Elephas maximus indicus: one gene and its partners. The protein of the gene in region 3 interacts with the protein of the main gene of each other region in a pairwise test. Links are inferred from orthologs where the notes say so. Each region holds a gene or a part of one and is shown on either strand. Other genes may lie near its edges.

Evidence for each region.
Region 1: the proteins of ZC3H12A (region 3) and P4HA3 interact in binary tests that used the Homo sapiens proteins (3 or more experiments, as listed by UniProt). The two-hybrid records come from large-scale screens. The link is inferred for Elephas maximus indicus from reciprocal best matches to the Homo sapiens genes ZC3H12A and P4HA3.
Region 2: the proteins of ZC3H12A (region 3) and AHSP interact in binary tests that used the Homo sapiens proteins (3 or more experiments, as listed by UniProt). The two-hybrid records come from large-scale screens. The link is inferred for Elephas maximus indicus from reciprocal best matches to the Homo sapiens genes ZC3H12A and AHSP.

What each region holds. Positions count from the first base shown.
Region 1 is NC_064825.1:48,206,695-48,214,180, forward strand, and holds the start of P4HA3 (prolyl 4-hydroxylase subunit alpha-3), read left to right. Parts: upstream 1-4,476; coding exon 4,477-4,676; intron 4,677-7,486. UniProt on the Homo sapiens protein: Catalyzes the post-translational formation of 4-hydroxyproline in -Xaa-Pro-Gly- sequences in collagens and other proteins.
Region 2 is NC_064830.1:90,860,348-90,866,551, reverse strand, and holds AHSP (alpha-hemoglobin-stabilizing protein), read right to left. Parts: upstream 1,412-6,204; 5' UTR 1,334-1,411; intron 1,165-1,333; 5' UTR 1,161-1,164; coding exon 1,086-1,160; intron 873-1,085; coding exon 669-872; 3' UTR 504-668; downstream 1-503. UniProt on the Homo sapiens protein: Acts as a chaperone to prevent the harmful aggregation of alpha-hemoglobin during normal erythroid cell development. Specifically protects free alpha-hemoglobin from precipitation.
Region 3 is NC_064821.1:79,048,684-79,056,641, reverse strand, and holds the start of ZC3H12A (endoribonuclease ZC3H12A), read right to left. Parts: upstream 3,064-7,958; 5' UTR 2,926-3,063; intron 2,851-2,925; exon of another isoform or gene 2,332-2,850; 5' UTR 2,218-2,331; intron 2,087-2,217; 5' UTR 2,055-2,086; coding exon 1,612-2,054; intron 1-1,611. UniProt on the Homo sapiens protein: Endoribonuclease involved in various biological functions such as cellular inflammatory response and immune homeostasis, glial differentiation of neuroprogenitor cells, cell death of cardiomyocytes, adipogenesis and angiogenesis.

The DNA of each region.
Region 1 (7,486 bases), on a different chromosome or scaffold from region 3:
TCTATTATTTGGCTGAAAGGTGACCTCTGGGAGTGGCTTCAGTTCCAGGTTAAGAGTGTCTTAGGGCAATAGTCTTGGGGGTTCCTCCAGTCTTGATCAGTCCAGTAAATCTGGTCTTTTTTATAAATTTGAATTTTGTTCTACATTTTTATCCCATTCTAATTGGGACCTTCTATTGTGTTCCTGCAGAGTAGCCGGTAGTGGTAACCAGGCACTATCTAGTTCTGCTCCCAGGCTAGAGAAGGCTGTGGTCCGTGTGGGCCATTAGTCCTGTGGACTAATTGCTTCCTTGAGTCTTTAGTTTCCTTCCCCCTCCTTTGCTCCAGATGGGAGGAGACCAGTAGTTATATCATAGATGGCTGCTTGCAAGCTTTTAGGACTCAGACACTACTCCCCAAACTAGAATGTAGAACAGTATCTTTATATTAGGCCAGTTGACCTAGATGTCCCCCGAGACGATGGTCCTGAGCCTTCAAACCGAGAAACTAAGACCCACAAGGTGTTTGGATGTCTAGGAAATTTCCATAACTATGCCCCCTATTGGAAACCCTGGTGGTGTAGTGGTTAGGTGCTACGGCTACGAACCAAAGGGTTGGCAGTTCAAATCCGCCAGGTGCTCCTTAGAAACTCTATGGGGGTGGTTCTACTCTGTCCTATAGGGTCATTATGAGTCGGAATTGACTCGACGGCACTGAGTTTGGACTGGGTATGCCCCCTATGTGCTCTATTATATATATGAATATATATGTAGCACATACAAATATGTATATGCAAATGCCCACAACTATACCTGTATGCGCACACACATGTACTCCCATACACTCTCCCAAACCTATATAGTATATATATCTACCTACGTAACCACTTACAAATTTTTGGTTGTTATTACTGTTGTTGCAGAACTGTATATGTTAATAGGATTTATCGTAGTTGTCATTTATCCTTTCATACCTCTCAGTGTCTTCATTTACCTTGGTCATGATGTGTTGACTTCCCCCATATTGTGTATTGCCTTTCCCTTCACCAGAATTAACAAGTGTCTACTATCTAGTAAGTGGTTTTCCCTCCCCTCTCTGGTAATGATCAACGTTGCTTTCTGTGTGTAAACCTATTCTTGACTTTTTATAAAAGTGGCATCATCTAGTATTTGTCCTTTTGTGATTGACTTATTTCACTCAGCATGATGTCCTCCAGATTCATCCATGTTATAAAATGTTTCACAGACTCATCATTATTCTGTTGTTGTGTACTATTCCATTGTATGTGTGCACAACATTTTCTTGATCCATTCATCCATTGGTGGATACTTTGCTTGCTTCCATTTTTTGCTGTTGTGAATGATGCTGCAATGAGCATGGGTGTGTGTATGTCTATCTGTGTCACTGCTCTTATTTCTCCAGGATGTATACCTAGGAGTGGGATTGCTGGATCATATGGTATTTCTATTTATAGCTTTTTGAGGAAAGTGCCATACTGCTTTTCATAGTGGTTGTACCATTTTATATTCCTCCAGCAGTGTGTAAGAGTTCCAGTGTCCCCCACAACCTTGCCAGCATTTGTTGTTTTCTGTTTTTTTTTTTTTTTGATCAGTGCTGTTTTTACAGGGGTGAGATGGTATCTCACTGTAGTTTTGATTTGCATCTCTCATTTTTTTTAATGGCTAATGAGAAGCTGGACTATATGAAGAAGAACTTGGCATCAGGATTGGAGGAAGACTCACTAACAACCTATGATATATAGATGATATAACCTTGCTTGCTAAAAGCAAAGGGGACTTGAAGCACTTACTAATGAAGATCAAAGACTACAGCCTTCAGTATAAATTACATCTCAACATAAAGAAAACAAAAATCCTCACAACTGGACCAATAAGCAACATCATGATAAATGGAGAAAGTGTTTTAGTTGTCAAGGATTTCATTTTACTTGGATCCACAATCAAGCAGCAGTCAAGAAATCAAATGACATATTGCATTGGGCAAATCTACTGCAAAAGACCTCTCTGAAGTGTTAAAAAACTAAGATGTTACTTTTAGGACTACGGTGTACCTGACCCAAGCCATGGTATTTTCAGTTGCTTTCTATGCATGCAAAAACTGTACAATGGATAAGGAAGAACAAAGAATTGACACCTTTGAATTATGATGTTGGAAAAGAATATTTAATATACCATGGATTGCCAGAAGAACAAACAAATCTATCTGTCTTGGAAGGAGTACAGCCAGAATGCTCCTTAGACGGGAAGATGACAAGACTTCATCTCATGTACTTTGGACATGTTATCAGCAAGGACTAGTCCCTGGAAAAGGACATGCTTGGTAAATTAGAGGGTCAGCCAAAGAGAGGAAGACCCTCAACAAAATGGATTGACACAGTGGCTGCAACAATGGGCTCAAACATAGCAACGATTATGAGGATGGCGAAGGGCTGTTGTACATAGGATCACTATGAGTCGAAATCAACTTGATGGCACTTAACAACAACAACACAATGGCTCATAATTAGGAGCATCTCTCCATATGTTTGTTAGCCTCCTGAATGTCTTCTGGGGTGATGTGTCTGTTCATGTCCTTTGCCCACTTATTGATTCGATTGTTTGTCTTTTTGTTGTTGAGGTGTTGGCATTTCCTATACATTTTAGAGATTAGACCCTTGTCAGATGTGTTGTTGTCAAAATCTTTTTTCCCCAGTCTGTAGGTTCTCTTCTTACCCTTTTGGTAAAGTCTTTTGATGAACATAAGCACTAAATTTTTAGGAGGCCCCAATTATCAAGCTGATCTTCTGTTGTTTGTGCTTCCATTGGATTTTCATAGATGACGGGATAATTTTCTTAGTACGACATGCAAAGCCCCTTCACAATATGACAGCTCCAACCAAAGAAACTTTTCATCACTTCCAAAACTCAAACTACTTTCCACCCCTGAACCTTGGTACCCATAGGCACCTTCTGCCCATCCCTCCCTTGCCTGCCACAGTGGAGATAATCCTTTTTCATCCCTTGGGCCAGTGCACGTTGCTTCCTCTGTGAAGCCCTCTCCACCACCGACGCATGTGCACAGGCTTCCTGCTCAGTGCTGCCATTGCACATGATGGCCCCACCCTTGGTTACCCTAATCACATTTTATTGTGGTTATTTGTTTACATATCTGTCTCCTCTTGTGAGCTCATTAGGACCGGGGTTAGCGCTGGGTCTGCTGTTTCTCTGTGTCCTCAGCCTGGTACCTTAAAAAAAAATCACTGCTGTTGAGTACATTCCGACTCATAGTGACCCTACAGGACAGGGTAGAACTGCCCCCGTGGGGTTTCCAAGGAACCACTGGTGGATTCGAACTGCCAACCTTTTGGTTAGCAACCTTAGCTCTTAACCACTATGCCACGCAGTACTGTAGGTACCAGTAAACATTTGTTGAATGAATGAACAAATGCCTGGGAAATGCCACGCAGTACTGTAGGTACCAGTAAACATTTGTTGAATGAATGAACAAATGCCTGGGAAAAAATAAGTAACCTAGTAGGATGTAAATAATAATTTTGTTTGCTTGCTTAAGTAACTGTGTAATATATTGTGTAGAGCAGAGACTTGGGATCCCAGAGTTTTAGGTCCTCTAAGTCCTAGAAACGTTATGCACTGGTCCTAATGCCCTTCATCACGCCTAACCTCCTGGTCAAATTTCTACTCATCATTCAGGATCGCTCAGATGTCACGTCCTCTGTGAAATGTTTTCCTCCCCTCTGCTCTCCCGCACTGTGAGTCGGAATCGACTGGAAGGCAATGGTTTTTTGGGTTTGGGGCTCTCCCACAGCTCTTTACACACACACACACACACATACACACACACACACACACGTCGCTATGGTACCTCTATTATTATACCGCATTATTTGCTCTCCTGGATTTACCAATCAGAATTCAGTAATGTTTCTATAGTTCCACCCCTGAACCAGGGGGTGAATATTGTTGGGGTGGCCTTGTACAGCCTTGTTTTTGTGTGCCGTGGAGTTGATTACGACTCACAGCGACCCTATATGACAGAGTAGATCCGCCCCATAGGATTTTCTACCGCATCCTTCTCTGGTCGAGGGGCTGGTGGGTTCCACCTTCAATCTTTCGTTTAGCAGCCCAGTGGGCTCCTTTGTACAGCCTTAGGCCAGTGAATTCAGCGCTCACACCACCCCGTGTCTCAGTTTCCACATACGTGAAATGGGCACAGAGGAAACACCTTCCTGGGGCTGTGATTTAGTGAAGGGAGCGCCACTGAGGTTGCAGGCAGTCCGCTCACGCAGTCTGAGCAGCTGAGAGGCAGGAACCCGAGGAGCGGTCAGAGCAAGTAAGGAGTCGGCGGTGGGGGGCTAAGCAGGCCTGACAGGCAAGGCGAAGGGGCGGGGCGAAGCCCAGGGGAGGAGCAGGGCTGGAGCTCCGAGCGCCGGGCGCAGGGCGGGCGGCACCGTCTGAGAGGACGCGAGCGAGCGCCGGCCATGGGTCCCGTGGCTCGGCTGGCCGCGCTGCTGGCGCTGCTGGCGCTGGGGCCCAGGGGTCCGGCGGGGCCCGCGGCGCAGGGGGACACGTTCTCCGCGCTGACTAGCGTGGCGCGCGCCCTGGCGCCCGAGCGCCGGCTGCTGGCCCTGCTGCGGCGCTACCTGCGCGGGGAGGAGGCGCGGCTGCGGGACCTGACCAGGTGAGGACAGTGGGGCGGGGCGACAGAGAAGCCTGAGTGGGAGAGACTCACAGTGCGAGACCGAGACACTGCGGTGCAGAGTGGGAATGACTGAGGCAGCGTGTGACTCCAGACTCACTGTCGTTCTGCGTGGGACGTCAGACCCAGTGTCACACGGTGAGACTGAGAAACTGTGGTGTGGGATAGGGAGTGACTCTGAGGTCTGGTGTGATTCCAGACCCTGTGTAGGACCCCGGTCCCTGTGTGGTGGTGGGGAAACTGAGACCGAGTATGAGCCCACAGGCACTGTGTCACATTGTGTGGGGCCCCACACTCCCATCACACAGGTAGTGGCACCCCAGATCCAGCATCACACGGTGAAGTTGACACACTGTGGAGAAGTGTGATGGAATACTCTGAGGCAGAGTATGACCTCACAAGGCACTGTGTCATGCTACAGGGGACCCCAGCTCTGTCACAGTGACACAGACACAGTGGAACCATGCAATGACACAGACACTGTGACCATAAAATGTAGAGAATATGGGGATGCTGTGGCCCCACGTGTGTTGACCTTGTGAGTTGGCACTGTGAATCAAGAACTGTGAAACACTGTGTGACCCGGTGAACTGACATTTTATATGATGTATCAGAGGAGATTCTGTGACTTTGTATGAAACATATATGTCATTGGGACTGGATGGGCATGGCACTATGGGTATCACGCTATGCATGTGGAATATGCTGAGTAGAAGTAACTATATATAGTATGAAAAATTAATTCATTCAACACATGTGCTTACTATGAGCCAAGCTTTGTTCTAAGCCCTGGGATAGAGCTTGGAGCCTCTGCATCATGACTGCTGACCAGTGATGTCCATCTCCTCTTTTGCTTTCAGTTCCCCCTTCCCTTGATCTTTACCAAAAATCAAAGCAGTTGCTGTCAAGTCGGTTCTGACTTACGGTGACCCATGTGTGTCAGAGTAGAACTGGTTTTCTGGGGCTGATGTTTCAAAAGTCAATTGTCAGGCTTTTCTTCTGTGGTGCCTCTGGGCAAACTTGAACTGCCAACCTTTTGATTAGCAGCCAAGTGCTTAACCGTTGTGCCATACAGTGTCTCTTACACATGCTTTAAAAAAAAAAAACTTATAGCTGTCAGGTCAATTTTGACTCACAGTGACCCAGAGTAGAGCTGCCCAATGGGGTTTCCAAGGAGCACCTGATGGATATGAACTGCTGACCTTTAGGTTAGCAGCAGTAGCTCTTAACCACTATGCCACCACATATGCTAAGAGCTCCCTACAGACTGGATAAATAATAACCGAGATGTTATATGTATGTGAAAGCCTTTGACACCAAGAAAAAATTGTGAATAACTATACTTGCGACTGGAAGATACTGTGTATATAACACACAAACAGATGCTTAGCCAATGTTGTTTTGCTATAGAATCAACAAACTCTAGGGCTACACACTGTGGGATAAAATAATACAAGACTTGGACACTGGGGTAGTGTAAGCATTTATTGACTCTGTGTCCAGCTATGAAAGTGAGTGATTGTATATGATTGCATGTATATGAGTATGTATTTTGCTTTCTCTTCTTGGGACGTGAGAATTCCTACAACACTGTGAGAAACAGAATTGTTTTTATATGGCCTTTCTCACCATAGTCTTGTGATTCCTACAAAATGATTGGGTGGGACTATGCAAATAAGGTACTTGTGGTCCACTGCTAAAAATGCAGATAAGGTGCATGGAACCCTTGTGTGGGGGTGGGACCATGCAAATAAGGCATATGGAACCGAAATGAGGGGATTGGTCAGTTTTGCCATCTCACTAGGCTTAAAAGAGAGCCAATCCCAGAGCAGAGAGGGGACCTCACTATCATCAAGAAAGAAGAGCTGGGAGTGGAGTGTGTCCTTTGGATCCAGGGTCCTTGCGCTGAGAACCTCCTAGACCCAGGAGACAGAGAGAGAGCTGTAACATCTGAGATGGCACAGAACAGCTAGAAGCAGCAGAGAAATAGTAGCCACAGAGAAACAGCAACAGCAGAACCAGGAGGCGAGCACGAGACCGCACTATAGACTTCCCGGCCCAAGGAGCAGGGTGGCTTCAGTGGGGATGCCAGCTCATGGAGTGAGAGAGCTGAGAGTCTTCAGGCAGGAGGCTTCATGGTGCAGTGCGATGCCTCTGGGCACTTGTCAGCGGAGCTAGGCTTGCCAATCTATGGAGCGAGAAAGCTGAGTGCCTTTGGGCAGGAGGCTTCTTGGTGGAGTGGGGTGCCTCTAGGCACTTATTGGCAGAGCTAAAGAGCTTTGTAACACCTGCCTGAGCAGGGCAGAGGCCAGGCCAAGAGGCAGAGGGTCAGAGAGAGACCTACCTGCAAGCACAACTGAAAAGAAGCTGTCCTGATTGAAGAACTATATCCTGAATTGTTCCTGATCCTGGACTGTAATCTGTTACTTCCCTAATAAACCCCATAATTGTGAGTATTGTCTGTGAGTTCTATGTGGCCATTGCAACAAATTATCCAACTCAGCAGAGAAGTAGAGAGCTGGCATCAGAATTGGTAAAAAGGTCAGAGAGTGGAGGTGTGTTTGACCTCTACTTCGAAGGGATCAACCTTGGGCTGTTGATGATGATGGTTCTCCCTCCACATGAAGTTAGAGGTCTGATGCCGCTATGCCATTTTCACAGTTGGTGCTGTTTTTACCCAATGGTTGTGACCACATCGCAATATGAATATATAATATTGTACTCATATCATGTGAGTGTCCTGCTGAACTGAGACAACCAAGGGCTGTGTCACAATGCACTGCTTATGAAGC
Region 2 (6,204 bases), on a different chromosome or scaffold from region 3:
TAAGGACAAAAAACCCATTGCCGTGGAGTCGATTCCAACTCATAGTGACCTTAAAGGACAGAGTAGAACTGCCTATAGGGTTTTCAAGGAGCACCTAGTGGATTCGAACTGACAGCCTTTTGGTTAGCAGCTGCAGCTGTTAACCACTACTTCACCAGGACAGGGACTGGAAAATCGAGGAAGGTGAACTCATGATTCCACCCGCAAGACTGGGAAACGTCCAGCTTTCTGCTGGACAAGCACATCACAGGACCACAATGCCTGTAAACCTCCAAAACACCACCCTCCTTTTCTTAACCAACGCTTCCAGCCATTGCCTCGCCTCCCCCAACTCCCCCCAGCACTTTCTCTGTAGACCCGGTCTACCAGACTGTTTAAGTACTAGCCCGTGGTTACTTAAGGCTGCTGACCTTTGCTCTAAGGAATTAAGTCTCCAAGATCAGATCTAGGATGCAGGGCTAAAAATAAAGGCCCAGCTGCCTCCACAAGTCAGGGACAGACACTCAAAGAAGAACACATTTGTCTTTATTGAGGTGTGATGGTAGAGTAGCACCATGAAGGAGCACAGCCTGAGGACATGGAGAACATAAAGCCAGGATTTGGGGGTTTCTTAGAGGTGAAGGCCTAGATCGCTGGGCTAGGAGGAAAACAGTGGGCCATTTGGATGCTCACAGGGTCTTCAGGAAGTCTCTATATTTGGTCAGGAAAGGGTTGGCCAGAGTGTTCAGCCCTTGTTGAAGTTCCTGCAGAGCCCTATCCTGCTCTTGCTGCTCCCCAGTCATCTTCTGCCTGTAATAGTTGATGTAGAAGCTCATCCAGTCATTCACCACAATTACCATGGCTTCTTCAGGGATAGGATTATCACGCATGTCCTGGGGGTGGGAGGGAGGAATGTGGTCAACAATGTGATCGAGGAATATAGGATAGGAAATAGTCCCCAGAAAGTCACATCCTCTTTCCTCCGCTTTGTATTCCCTGTCTTGAGTTGTTTCCATCAATTCCACCATTACTCTTCCAACTCCATATTATTATCCCTCACCTCCTACTTTCCAGGCCCGTCCTTTGAAATGGAGTGCCAAACTTACCTGCTGATTCAGCAGAATACTAAATTCCTTCATTCCTGTGGAAATGAGATCCTTATTGGCCTGAAGAAGGGCCATCTACCTGGTAAGAGAAAGAGGTAGAATTTAAGTAACATTTTCCCTTGTCCTTGGATATCCACCGCCCCCCTCCAACACCACCAATCCTTGGTGACCTTCAGGGCCACCTCCCCTCTAACACTTTTCAAAGCCTGCTCTGTTCTGAGATGCTATTTCTCCCAGGTAGGGCTCACCATCTGGTGAACGGTGCTGTGTGTTTCACCCTCACTCTTCAGGGTATGTATGTCTCTCTGTGCCAACCTAGATGTAGGCAAGGAATCAAGTGTCAGCGTAGGAGGGAAACACCCTAAGTCTAGGTCCTGAGAGAGAATGATAGGTCACCCTGGGGAGGGGAAGCAGGGAGAGGCTTCCCTGAAGTTGGAAAGATAATGAGGCCAAGAAAAAGAGATAAGTGAGCAGACCCAGAAAATACAAGAACCAAGGCAGGCCCGCATCCCAGTACCCAAACTTTTAACACTAAAGAAACTAACATTTATTGAGGCCCTGTTACATGTCAGGCCCTTTGAAATCACAACACTGTGATGGCAATTATTCTTTCATTTCATGGATGGTTTGTTAATAGCTGTTTACATTTATTCAGCAGATCCTTTATGCTAGGCACTATTTCAAACACGTATTGAGGTATTTATCTTTATAAAAACCCTATTAGGTATTTGTTATGGATTGAACTGTGTCCCCCCAAAATATGTGTTGTGAATCCTCACCCTAACCTGTGGTTATAATCCCATTTAGGAATGGGTTGTCTTCGTTCTGTTGAGGAGGCAGTCTTAGTGTAGAGTATGTCTGGAATTAATTTCTTTTGAGATATAAAAGAGCGGATTAAGCAGAAATGAGAGAAGATAGATTCCACACCACATGAAGATCACCAAGGAACCAGGAAACAAAAGCTGAGAAGAAACAAGGACCTCCCCCCAGAGCCCGTAGAGAAAGAAAGCCTTCCCCTAGAACTGGCATCCTGAATTTGCACTTCTAGCCTCCTAAACTATACAAAATTAAAAGTGTTAAAGCCACCTACTTGTGGTATTTCCGTTATCTGCAGCACTAGATAACAGACTGTACTGTTATTAGCCACTTTTTGCAGATGACCCTGCCCAGCTGCACTCCACAAGAATGGAGATGTATTTCTTGTTCTCTACATATCACCAAGTACTCACTAAAGCAGAAATACTCTTTTTCTTCTTTTTAAATGTTTGTCCTAATGGTTTTCATTTTAGTAGATTTTGTTTTTCAAATTTCAAAGTTACTACATGAAATAAGTGAAAAAATACAAAAGTGTACACTGAAAAAGTTGATTATTTTTGCTCCCCACTGAGGTAGTGATCATTAAAGTTTTGTGCGTTTCCGGTCATACCTTTCTCCACTCAAAAGCCAATATTCATAAGCACCTACACACTCATAGAGGTTTGTCGATTTGCTTTTTTTAAATGTATGGTGTTTTCTTAATGTGGGGGATCAGTGGTTCAGTGGTAGGATTTTTACTTTCCATGAGCGTTGCCTGGATCCCATTCCCAGCCAATGTACCTCATTCACAGCCACCGCCCATCTGAGAATGTTGCTATGATGCTGAACAGATTACAGCGGAGCTTCCAGACTAAGATGGACTAGGAAGAAAGGCCTGGCAATCTACTTCTGAAAATCAGCTAATGAAAACCCTATAGATCACAATAGTCCCATCTGCAATAGATCATAGGGATGTCTCAGGACCAGCTAGTGTTTTGTTACATTGTGCATGGGGTTGCTGTGAGTCAGGAGTCAACTCAACAGCAGCTAACAATAACAGCTTAGTTAACATATAGCAAAATTAACTTCTTTTTGGTATGTTGTGTGCTGTCAAGTCGATTCCAACTCATAGCAACTCTATGGACAGAGGAAAACTGCCCCACAGGGTTTCCAAGGCTGTAACCTTTACAGAAGCAGATTGCCACATCTTTCTCCCAAGGAACAGCTGATGGGTTTGAACCACTGACCTTTCAGTTAGCAGCTAAGTGCTTAACCACTGCGCCACCAGGGCTCCTTTCTTTTCAGTATACAGTTTATGAATTTTAACATAAAAAAATATAGATTAATTTAACTACCTCCATAATAAGGATACAGGACATTTTCATCACCTCAAACTCTAGACCCCTTTGTAGTCACACTCACCAACCAAACCCAGTGCCGTTGAGTCAATTCCGACTCATAGCGACCCTTTAGGACAGAGTAGAACTGCCCCATAGAGTTTCCAAGGAGCTCCTGGCAGATTTGAACTGCCGACCCTTTGGTTAGCAGCCGTAGCACTTAACCAGTAGGCCACCAGGGTTTCCATGTCACACCCACACCCACCCCTAAATCAGGGTTTCTAGCCAGTTTGGAACAGACACAAAGGAGAGCAGCATAGGAGTTGCATAGCAACCAAATCTGTTAGCCAGCGGATTTTGACCTGAGTAGAAACTAAGAGCCCAGGCCGCTAACCAAAAGGTTGGCAGTTCAAATCCACCAGCTGCTCCTTGGATACCCTATGTGGCAGTTCTACTCTGTCCTAGAGGGTTGCTGTGTGTCGGAATTGACTCTACGGCACACAACAACAACAACCAGAAACAAACAGCTGTGGTTTGCTCAAAGATGGCAATCAACACTGCTTTGAATGTGTATCACTCTCCAGAGTCCTGCCAACAATCCGGTCTACTGCATCAGGCTCCTGAAACTTTAGGGATCCATACAGAAGATTGGATTATTGGCAGGACTGTGGAGAGGAACAGATATTCAAAGTAGGCAGTCAGCTGCCATCTTTGAGTGGAGCACTGCCCTGTTTCCCATTCAGGTCAAAATCTGCCAGGCAACAGATTTGGTTGCTATGCAGTGCTTACACTGCCTTCATTTATGTAGGCAGTTACTGAACAATTCCTGAACCCTTCCCAACTGGCTCAAAGCCCTAACAACCACTGATCCATCAAAAAAGTCACTATAGTTTAGTATTTTTGAGAATGTCATATAAATGGAATCACACAGTATGCAACCTTTTGAGACTGACTTCTTTCGCTCAGCATGATGCCTTTGAGGTTCATCTAAGTTGTTATGAGTATCAGTAAGACAGCCATTTTCGTTGCTGAGTAGCATTCCATTGCATGGGTGTACCACAGTTTGTTTATTCATTCACCCATTGAAGGACATTGGATTGTTTGCAGTTTATGGCAACTATGAATAGAGCTGCTATAAACATTTATGTATAGGTTTTCGTGTGAACATGTTTTCATTTATCTAAGGCAGAAAATATTTGCTACCACTGGGAAAAATATTTACAATACAGTCTGACAAAGGAGATGTATACAGAATTTATAACAAACTCTTACCACTCAATGACACAAAAAATCCTATTTTTTAAAGAAGCCAAAACTCAAAGAGTCCATGAGAAAATTTCTAGAGCTAATAAAAGAATTTAGCAAAGTTGCAAGATACAAGATGCAGTGCAATGAATTACTTAATATGGCCTTTCTAGCCATAGTCTTTATAAGTCCTACCAAATGACTGGCTGGAACTATGCAAATGAGGTGCTTGTGGCCCACCAAGGGGATTGGATTGCTTGCTAATAATGAAAATAGGCTGCATGGCACCCTTGTAGGGGTGGGACCATGCAAATAAAGTGTATGGAACCCTAATGAGGGGATTGGACAGCTTTGCAAAAAAAAAAAAATTTTTTTTTTTTCTGGGTTTTACTAGGCTTAAGGGGAGACAGAGAGAGAGAGAGAGAGTGGAGCTGTAACATGGAAGACAGCAAGAGAGAGTGGCATGAGACAGCAGGAACCAGAGAACAGTGCAACACAGCCGCAGTGGGGCTAGGAGTTATAACAGAGCTAAGAGTTATAACACTTGCCCAAGAAGGCCCCCAGCATAGCTTGGTGGCAGCAAGGCCTCAGGAGAGCTGGCGACAGAGGACGAGAAGATGCTGTTCTGATCCAGGAACTGTGTCCTGAGTTGTTCCTGTTGCTTCCAAGTTTATCCTGATCCCAAGTTGTGCCCTGTTACTTCCCTAATAAACCACTTAACTATAAGTACAGTCTGTGAGTTCTGTGAGACATTGCAGTGAATTACTGAACCCAAAGACAGGAATGAGAGTACTGAGGAGCAGGGAGTAGTTGATGTTAGGGACAATGGAGTGGTGGAGCAGTCTGGAAAAGTTGGACATTTGGGACATCTTTAACCTCCGCCTCATAAGAACCAGCTTTGTGCTGATCCTTATAAAAGAAATTACTTACTTACAAGGTCAACAAACAAAAATCTGTTGAATTATATACACCAACAATGAGAGATCTAATAGGGAAATTAAGGAAACAATTCCATTTACAATACCATCTAAGAGAATAAAATGTTGTTGTTAGGTGCCGTCAAGTCGGTTCCGACTCATAGCAACCCTATGCACAACAGAACGAAACACTGCCCCGTTCTGCGCCATCCTTACAATCGTTACGCTTGAGCTCATTGTTGCAGCCACTGTGTCAATCCACCTCGTTGAGGGTCTTCCTCTTTTCTGCTGACCCTGTACTCTGCCAAGCATGAGGTCCTTCTCCAGGGACTGATCCCTCCTGACAACATGTCCAAAGCATGTAAGATGTAGTCTTGCCATCCTTGCCTCCAAGGAGCATTCGGGCCGCACTTCTTCAAAGACAGATTTGTTTGTTCTTTTGGCAGTCCATGGTATATTCAATATTCTTCACCAACGCCACAATTCAAAGGCGTCAACTCTTCTTCGGTTTTCCTTATTCATTGTCCAGCTTTCACATGGATATGATGTGATTGAAAATACCATGGCTTGGGTCAAGCGCACCTTAGTCGTCAGGGTGACATCTTTGCTCTTCAACACTTTGAAGAGGTCCTTTGCAGCAGATTTGCCTAATGCAATGGGTCTTTTGAATTCTTGACTGCTGCTTCCATGGCTGTTGATTGTGGATCCAAGTAAAATGAAATCCTTGACAACTTCAATCTTTTCTCCATTTATCATGATGTTGCTCATCGGTCCAGTTGTGAGGATTCTGTTTTCTTTATGTTGAGGTGCAATCCACACTGAAGG
Region 3 (7,958 bases):
GGGGCGAGGGGGCGGCAGGGCAGGAACCCAGTAGCAGCTCAGACAGGAAGCTTGAGGCTGGAATTCCCCTCCTGCCACTGCCCTAGCTCAGAAAGCCCCGTCGGCTCAGCCTCTCAGGCCCGCTCCCCTGGTCCCCCTCCACCGCCCGCCCCTCCCTCCCAGGCCCCTCCTCCTCCTGCTAGGATACAAACACACAGCACATGGTGGCCCCAAGGGCTCAGCTACTCCAGCCCAGACTCACCCCCCACCCCCAAGGAAGGAGACACTGTGCCATCCCAACTCCTGACCCAGGCACACGCAAAGCACAGGTTGTGACCAGCCGCCCTGGCACATGGGAATTGGCTTTGCTCAATCTCAGCCCATTTCCGAAATGGAAGACTGACTGGCAGGCAGCAGCAAGAGGGCTGCCAGCATGAATGCAGGGAGCGGGGCTAGAACCAGCCAGAAGGCTGACTTGCCTGGCTAGGCTGTGAGTGGGAGGGGCCAAGCGCTGTGGAGGGCAGAGGCTGACGTCATGGCCACCTCAGGCAGCCCACCTGTGAGTTCCTTCCTGCCTGGGGTCTCCCTGACCACACCAACAGGAACTCTTCCCTGTGAGAGATCCACCCAGCCCTGACTCACCCACTGCCTTGGAGAAAACTGGGAGAAAGTAGGGCCAGAGGGTGGGGCCTGGAGTGAAGGCAGAAGTCTGGGTTCCCTGAGGCCAGTGGCCTGGTCCTCTGCCCCCACCCCACCCCCTGTGACAGCCTGTGTCGGGGCACTGGGAGTACTGGGGCCCAGTCCTGGCTCTGGCTCTGGGTAGCCTGGCACAGCCCAGTCCTTCCTAGGCAGTTCCAGCAGAATCAGAAGGACTTGAGTCACAGCTCACCTGAAGTCAGAGCTTCAGGCCACCACCTGCACCTCCCAGTGACAGAGCCAGATCCAGCCTCAAGGTGACTCCTGGTCACAACCACAAAGGCCTCAGCAGCTGGGAGCCCGGGTCTGGGACAACACAGTCTCAGAAGTCCCAGCCCTGAATAATAATGTTTACTGAGCACTTACTACTCACCAGGCTTTGTGCATTCACTCCTCACAACTATCACCTGGGGAGTGGGGAGTACTGTTAGGCCCATTTTATAGATGAGGAAATAAGGCTCAGAGAGGTTAAGTGACTGGCTTATAGTTTACACAGCTCTTACACAAATAAGCTGGGATTCAAACCCAGGCATTTTAACACTGGAGTCCACAGTCTAATCCACTGCACTACACTGCCTCGTATCCAGAAGAGGAATTGAGACGGTGAAGAGTTGTGGCACTCAGGGAAAGATCCACAGCACAAGGTGACCGCTGGAGTCAGAAAGAACTGGGTTCGAATCCTTGCCACACCACTTACCAGCAGTGCAACCACAGGCAAGCCTTTGAGCCTATGTCCTCATCTGTAAACATTCCTCTCAAACCCACCTCAAGATGTCAGAAGATTAAGGGAGCCTGCTGGCACACAGTAGGGCCTCAATAAAGGGCTTTCCCTTCTTCTAGACCAGTCCGTGGGAAGAGGTCAGACTCCTAGAGCCAGGACATGGTCACCATGCCCAGCTGCTAGTCATGAGTCTTGGCCACAGAAGTGACACATACCTCATGGCTACATTGCTCCCATCAATGACCACAGGTCTCAGGTCACTGCTCTCCTTGTCCTCTTCAGGGGGTGAAGGCTCCAGAGTGACAGTCTTGCGGGTACCCCCGCCCCGGGGGACCAGGGGCAGCTGAGGGCAAGGGTCTGATGAGACCTGGTGCTCCCGTTCGGCAGCTGGACCATGTTTCACCAGCTCGCCCAGCACTGTGTTGGTGTCCGCCTGGACTCCCAGCTTCTGCAGGACACTGTGGATCTCAGTCGATGAGTAGCCCAGTTTCCGGAAGAAGTCCACCTTCATCTGTAGCTCCGCAGCCGATGCCTCCTCAGTGGCCGGCTCCTGGGCCAGCCCGGAGGTTCCCTGCCAGCTGTGGCTGTCCCCAGGCTCCCAAAAACTCATGGCCGGGCTGGCTGCCTTGACGGGCCTCTCTCCACAGGGGGCGCTCATAGTTCAGACTCCTGGCAGGCACCTGTCAGCTCCTGCAAGACAACCGTAAAGGTCAGGGGTGGGAAACCGTGCTCTCTCCCACCTCCTCTCCCCCTCCTGCCCCACCCAACACGATGAAGCAGCATCCACCTACGGCCCTGATTAGAGCCGCCTTCTGTATTACCTTATGCAGTGCTCTCAAAAGCTCTCCGGGAGAGGGGGTGTTCTTCCCATCATATAGAGAAGGAAACTGAGGCACAGGGCCATTAAGAACTTCCTCCCGTCTTCCAGCTGTTAACTGGTGGCGCAAGGGTTTGAACTCAGTCGGTCTGACTCCACCTCCTATCCTACGCCCACCCCCACGCCAACCCTGGGGACCTAAAGGCTAGGGGGGCCTCAGAGGACCTCGCCGCGCCCCGACAGCTGCGGGGCGGAGCCTTCACTGGAAACCTAGAGTTGGACGTGCGCTCGGAAGCCGGGGCTTCCCCTCTGCGGCCGTCGCCTCCGCCTATCCGCACAGCACTCAGGGCCCAGGCCCAGGCGGCGCAAGGCCAGTAGGGCCGCACTCCCGGGCCAGGGGCGGGCAAGTTTCCGAGGCGACCCACCGTTGAGAAAAGTTGCTGGGAAACTCTGGTTGGCCGCCGGCCGCCGCTGACGCGAAGGCTGTCCTGGCCCCGAGACCCGCGCGCGCTCGGCTCCCCCGCCCGTCCCTCGGCCCCGCTCCCCGGGTTCTCCTAACTTGAGCTAAGTTGGAGGGGCTCCTGAGGACGGATATGCCTCGGGGGGACGAGCCCTACGTCCCTCTCGCTGTAATCGGACCCAGCTGGAGCCCTCCCCACCCTCCTCCGACCAGACCCCAAGGCCCGCGCCCCTCCCCGCCGCGCGCTCTCACCCCGCCGTGCGCCAGCTGCGGCCCGCGGCGTCTCCATGGGGCCGAGTCCCGGGGGCGAGGCCGGCGGCGCCTTTATACCGGACTGTGGGCGGGCAGGTGGCGTTAAGGACAGTGACGCGGAAGCCGGGCAAAGGAGGCGAGAGCCGCTCGGGGGATCCGCGGGGAGGGAGGGGGCGGAGCGGCCACCGCCCCTTCCTGCTCCGCCCCCGCCCCGCCCCGGCTCCTGGCCCCGCCCCCGCGGCCCAAGGGCTCCCGGCCAGGCCCGGAATCCGGCCGGTGGGGGCGCGTCGGGCGCTGGCGGAGTCGGGGCTCCGGGACGCTGCCCCTTCCCGGTGCCTCCAGGCCCGGGAGACGAGGAGACTAGGAGAGGAGCCCGGCCGTAAGGGTGAGGTAAGCCATAGAGAGCCAGGTATACGCACGTAGTCATAAAAAAAAAAAATACATTGATACAAATACGGGTACAGCCACGTACATTCAGACCTAAGAACACTTAACAGGTACATCCTGACGGACAAAAGATACAGTCAGGTACACGTTGAGTGAATCAGGTACACAGAGGTAAGTCCATAGTTACTCCAGACAGACACTTTCCAGATGGAGACAGGAACACTCCACAGGTACACCCTGACTGGTGCAGGTATATTCAGGTACACCCTTACTGAAGCAGGTGTACAGAGGTGGGACCACACCCAGGGCCAGGTACACTTTTTGTGAAATCAGTGCTGAGATAGAAAGACAGGTACAACCAGCAGATGCACAATGACTGAGGAGAAAACCAGGCAAAGGTAGCTACACTTAGACCAACCACCAGGTGAGTGGTCACAGAATGCTGCCTTAACACTCATGGGCTCCCCCTTCCTCCCCCACCAGAGGCAGCACCCACTCCTTCACCAGGATGCTTTTAAGTTCCCAGGTCAATCAGTCATGGCCCCTCACATGCACAGCACTTCACAGTATCCACGTATGGGCTTAGGTGAGGGAGGCAGAGGTTATTATACACATTTAACCGAAGAGAAGACAAATCTAGAAACGGCTAAGTTGCCCCAGCTAGAAAGACTTAAAACTGGGAACGAGAGCTCCCATTCCTGTGCCACGTCTGTGACCACCAGTGACCTAGGACCAAGGGGAGACTCTTCTGGTGCGGGGGGGGGGGGCTGACACCTGCTCCAAAGAGACCTTCCGTGTGGGGGGTGAGGCAGGACAAAGAAAACACAGAACCCGCAAGCTAGAGGACAAAGCCTCTGCGGTGCTACCGGCTCACTTTGCAGATGGGGAAGCTGAGGCCCAGTAAGCCAAAACACTCAAAACTGAGTGCTTACTGTGTGCCCATACTTTACATACATTATCTCTGCCTTTATCATAGGCATGTGTCCTATAAGGTAGGTAAACTGTCTGTCATCAAGTTGATCCTGACTCATAGCGACCCTGTGGGATAGAATGGAACCGCCCCATAGAGTCTCCAAGGCTGGAAATCTTTACAGAAGCAAACTGCCACATCTTTCTCCCATGGAGCGGAGTGGAGGGAAAGTTGAACCACTAACTTCTTGGTTAGCAGCTGAGTGCTTAACCACTGTGCTACCAGGGCTCCTATAAGGTAGGTATTAGTGTTATATTCCAAATTTGTATACATGTATGTGACACCTTTGAGTTGTGGTGTTGATGAAGAATATTGAATATACCATGGAGTGCCAAAAGAACAAACAAATTTGTCTTGGAAGAAGTCCAACTAGAATGCTCCTTAGAAGCAAGGATGTCGAGACTTCGTCTTACATACTTCGGTCATGTTGTCAGGAGGGATCAGTCCCTGGACATCATGCTTGGTAAAGTAGAGCATCAGCGAAAAAGAGGAAGACCCTCAATGAGATGGATTGACACAGTGGCTACGACATCGGGCTCAAGCATAACAAGGGTTGTGAGGATGGCGCCGGACCAGGCAGTGTTTCCTTCTGTTGTGCATGGGGTCGCTATGAGTCAGAACTGACTCGATGGCACCTAAGAACAACAACACACGTACAGCTTGACGAATAACAGTAATCATAATAAAACGTCCATGTATCCGTTCAAAAAAAACCCTAAACCGTGAATCAACTCTGACTCAGGGTGACCCCAAGTGTGTCAGAGCAGAACTGTGCCCCACAGGGTTTTCAGTAGCTGATCATTCGGAAGTGTGTCTCCAGGCCTTTCTCCTGAGATGTCTCTGGGTGGACTTGAACTGTAAACTTTTCTGTTGGCAGTAAATATGTTCACTGTTGGCACCACCCAGGGACTTCATGTTTCCATCACATGACTTAAATTGGCCAGTAGCGTTACCTTTGAGGTCCTCTGGGCGCTCCCCTTCTACCTCTACTGTTACAACCTCTTCTCCCCACCCTGAAGGACACTTTCCTTAATTTTGTCTTAACTGTGCTAATAATTCCCTTGATTTTCTCTTAGTTTTACCACCTTTGTATGGATCTCTAGATGATATTTTAGTTGTGCTTTTTGTTTTTTCTAGTGTATATAGTTGGGATCATTCTATAGTTCTATGACTTCCTTTTTTCACACAGCATTATTTTTTTTGAATCCATCTCTGTTGCCTGTACCTTGAATTCATTTATTTAACTATTGAATAGTATTCCGTTTTGTGAATATACCACTAGTTAGTGATCTAGCTCCTGTTGTTGGATATTTGGGTTGTTTCTAGTTGGGTTTTTTGTGTTGTTGTTATTACAAAGAGTGTGCTTTGGATATTCAGTTCTTGTGTGTGTCTTTTAATGCAATTGTAGAGTTGAGAAAAGTGACTCTCAGAGATTCAGAAAGGTGAAGTGACTTGCCTAGAGTCACTGAGCTGGTGGAGTGGACTTCACGTAGCTCCCTCCAAGGCAGCCCGTCTCCTAGTCTATACTGCTGGTCTACACTGCTGGTTCTAGGAGGTCACAGAAGATCCCGGGCAGGAGTGAGTGCACGTTTGTAGCTGGGTCCTGATGCTGTTCCTCTGGGCTTGCCTGACTCGACCTAGCCTGCTTTGTTACTTGCTCATCGTTGAAGACCCCAAAGTGTCCCCTCTTCTGTGCCCCCACTCCTGCACAGCAACCCCAGGGGTGGCAGGCCAAGGAGAGAGGGAACATAAGTCCCCCGGCTGTGTGTCAGACCCTGTACACTAGGCACCCCACAAGTGTCACACCATGCCAGCTGAGCGCTATACATAACTGTATCTCTGGTCTTCACAACAGCCCCTCTTACAGAGGAGAGCTCAGTGACATCAGGCATTTATTCATTGTAGTAATAGTAACCACCTTTAGGATAGTAAAAAGATTAAGTGACTAAATGGCATGTCCAAGTTAACAATAATGATGATATATCAATCCCAGTAATAATATGTTAACTTGCAGACAGCAGGGCCAGGGCCAGGTGCCTTGCAGATGCTTCTGTCCCTTTGCACATGCCTCTCCCTCTGCCAGGAGTGCCCTTCGCTTCTCCCCTCCCTACTGCTGCCCAGCCGATTCCATTCTTCTTTTCGATGGTGTCACCTCCACCTTGAGGCCTGCCGAGACTCCTCGTGGTGAGTCGCTTCCTCCACCAGGTTCCCACAACACCCAGCTTCTGTCACTACATGCTGTGCCGTATTGTAATTGCCACCTGGGACCTCCTGTAGGGCCAGGTCTGGGCTGGGACTCCGCCCCTGCTCCCGGGGGCCCCCCCCCCGCGCTGCCCAGCGCTGTGCCAGCGGGAGCCGGAGGAACCGGCGATGAGTCACGCAGCTCCCTGCCCTCCCAGAGTTAGCCGCAGTCTCACTCTCTTCCGGCTCATGAGGCGGCCGGCTCCTTCCAGCAAAGCCGACTCCCTTCTGCAGAACTCAGTGCTGCCCTGGAGAACCCCTTCTCCACTTAAAGCTGGATTTTGCAAACCTTGGCCCCAGTCTCTGGGTGCCCTCTGGAGCTTAATGGTGCAGAGCCCACGCACCTCCTGTCTCCCTCCTTCCTTCCCGTCTCACCTGCTGGGCTTGCTGACTTCCGTCCTGGAGCCTGCCTACCCTCTTGCTACCTGCCCACACCTGCCCGGCCAGCTTGGGCGGGGTCTGCTGCACTCCAGGACCTGTAGCCCTGGAGGTGAGGGAGGGAGCTGGAGCGGGAAGGGCCGCAGGAACTACCTTTGCCTCCAGTTGCTCCACTGGGCAGCTCCGGCTGACAGTGGCAAGGACACAGGAGTCCAGCCACTTCAGTAGCGGGTGGGTGGGCTGCCCGGAGCCTTAGCAGAGTGGCAGTAGAGATAACAGTTAAATTGAACAAGGCCATGAGATCATTTAGTGCTCATGTACTACTTCCAGATGAATGCAGTTAGGTAAAGATGTTCTCCTGTGTTTATTTGTAAAACAAAGGGTGGGCTTTTGTGCAGTACAGAAGTCCTATTGCCCTTTAAAAAGAGGATTTTTTAGCATGACTACCAGTATAATCCCAGAAAAAAATTGTCTGTTTCGTATGTTAAAAAAAAAAAGAAAAATTCAACAAGGGATCTTGGAAGTGGAGAAAGGGCCAGGCTTCTCCATGTGTAGAGACTCTTGGTTTACTAAATAATTGTTAAAGCAGAGCTACGAAAATGGAGGTATGTTTTAAACGATAATTGAAAAAATTAACTTTTCATCACATACTCAAATACAGCGCAATACATTTGGGCTATTGACAAGACAACTGGAGGATTTACTTTAAAAATATGTTATTTCCTCGCAGAAATGGCTACTTCTAGGGCCAAGGCAGGAAAAGATAGGCTTGGAGCGTCTTGTGGTGCCAGAGGGGAAGAAAGTGCTCAAAAAACAAAAGGATGGGTCATGTCAAAGGGACACAGAAGTCAAGAGAGCGTCCAGTGGCCAGAGCTGGAATGCGTAGAGCAAGAGAATAGGTAATACAGTATTGGATTATAATTCAAAAGCATAAAACAAATGTCTGTAAGTCTGAAAAAAACCAAACCCATTGCCATCGAGTTGATGTTGACTGTCTTAGTCATCTAGTGCTGCTGTAACAGAAATACCGCAAGTGGATGGGTTCAACAGAGAGAAA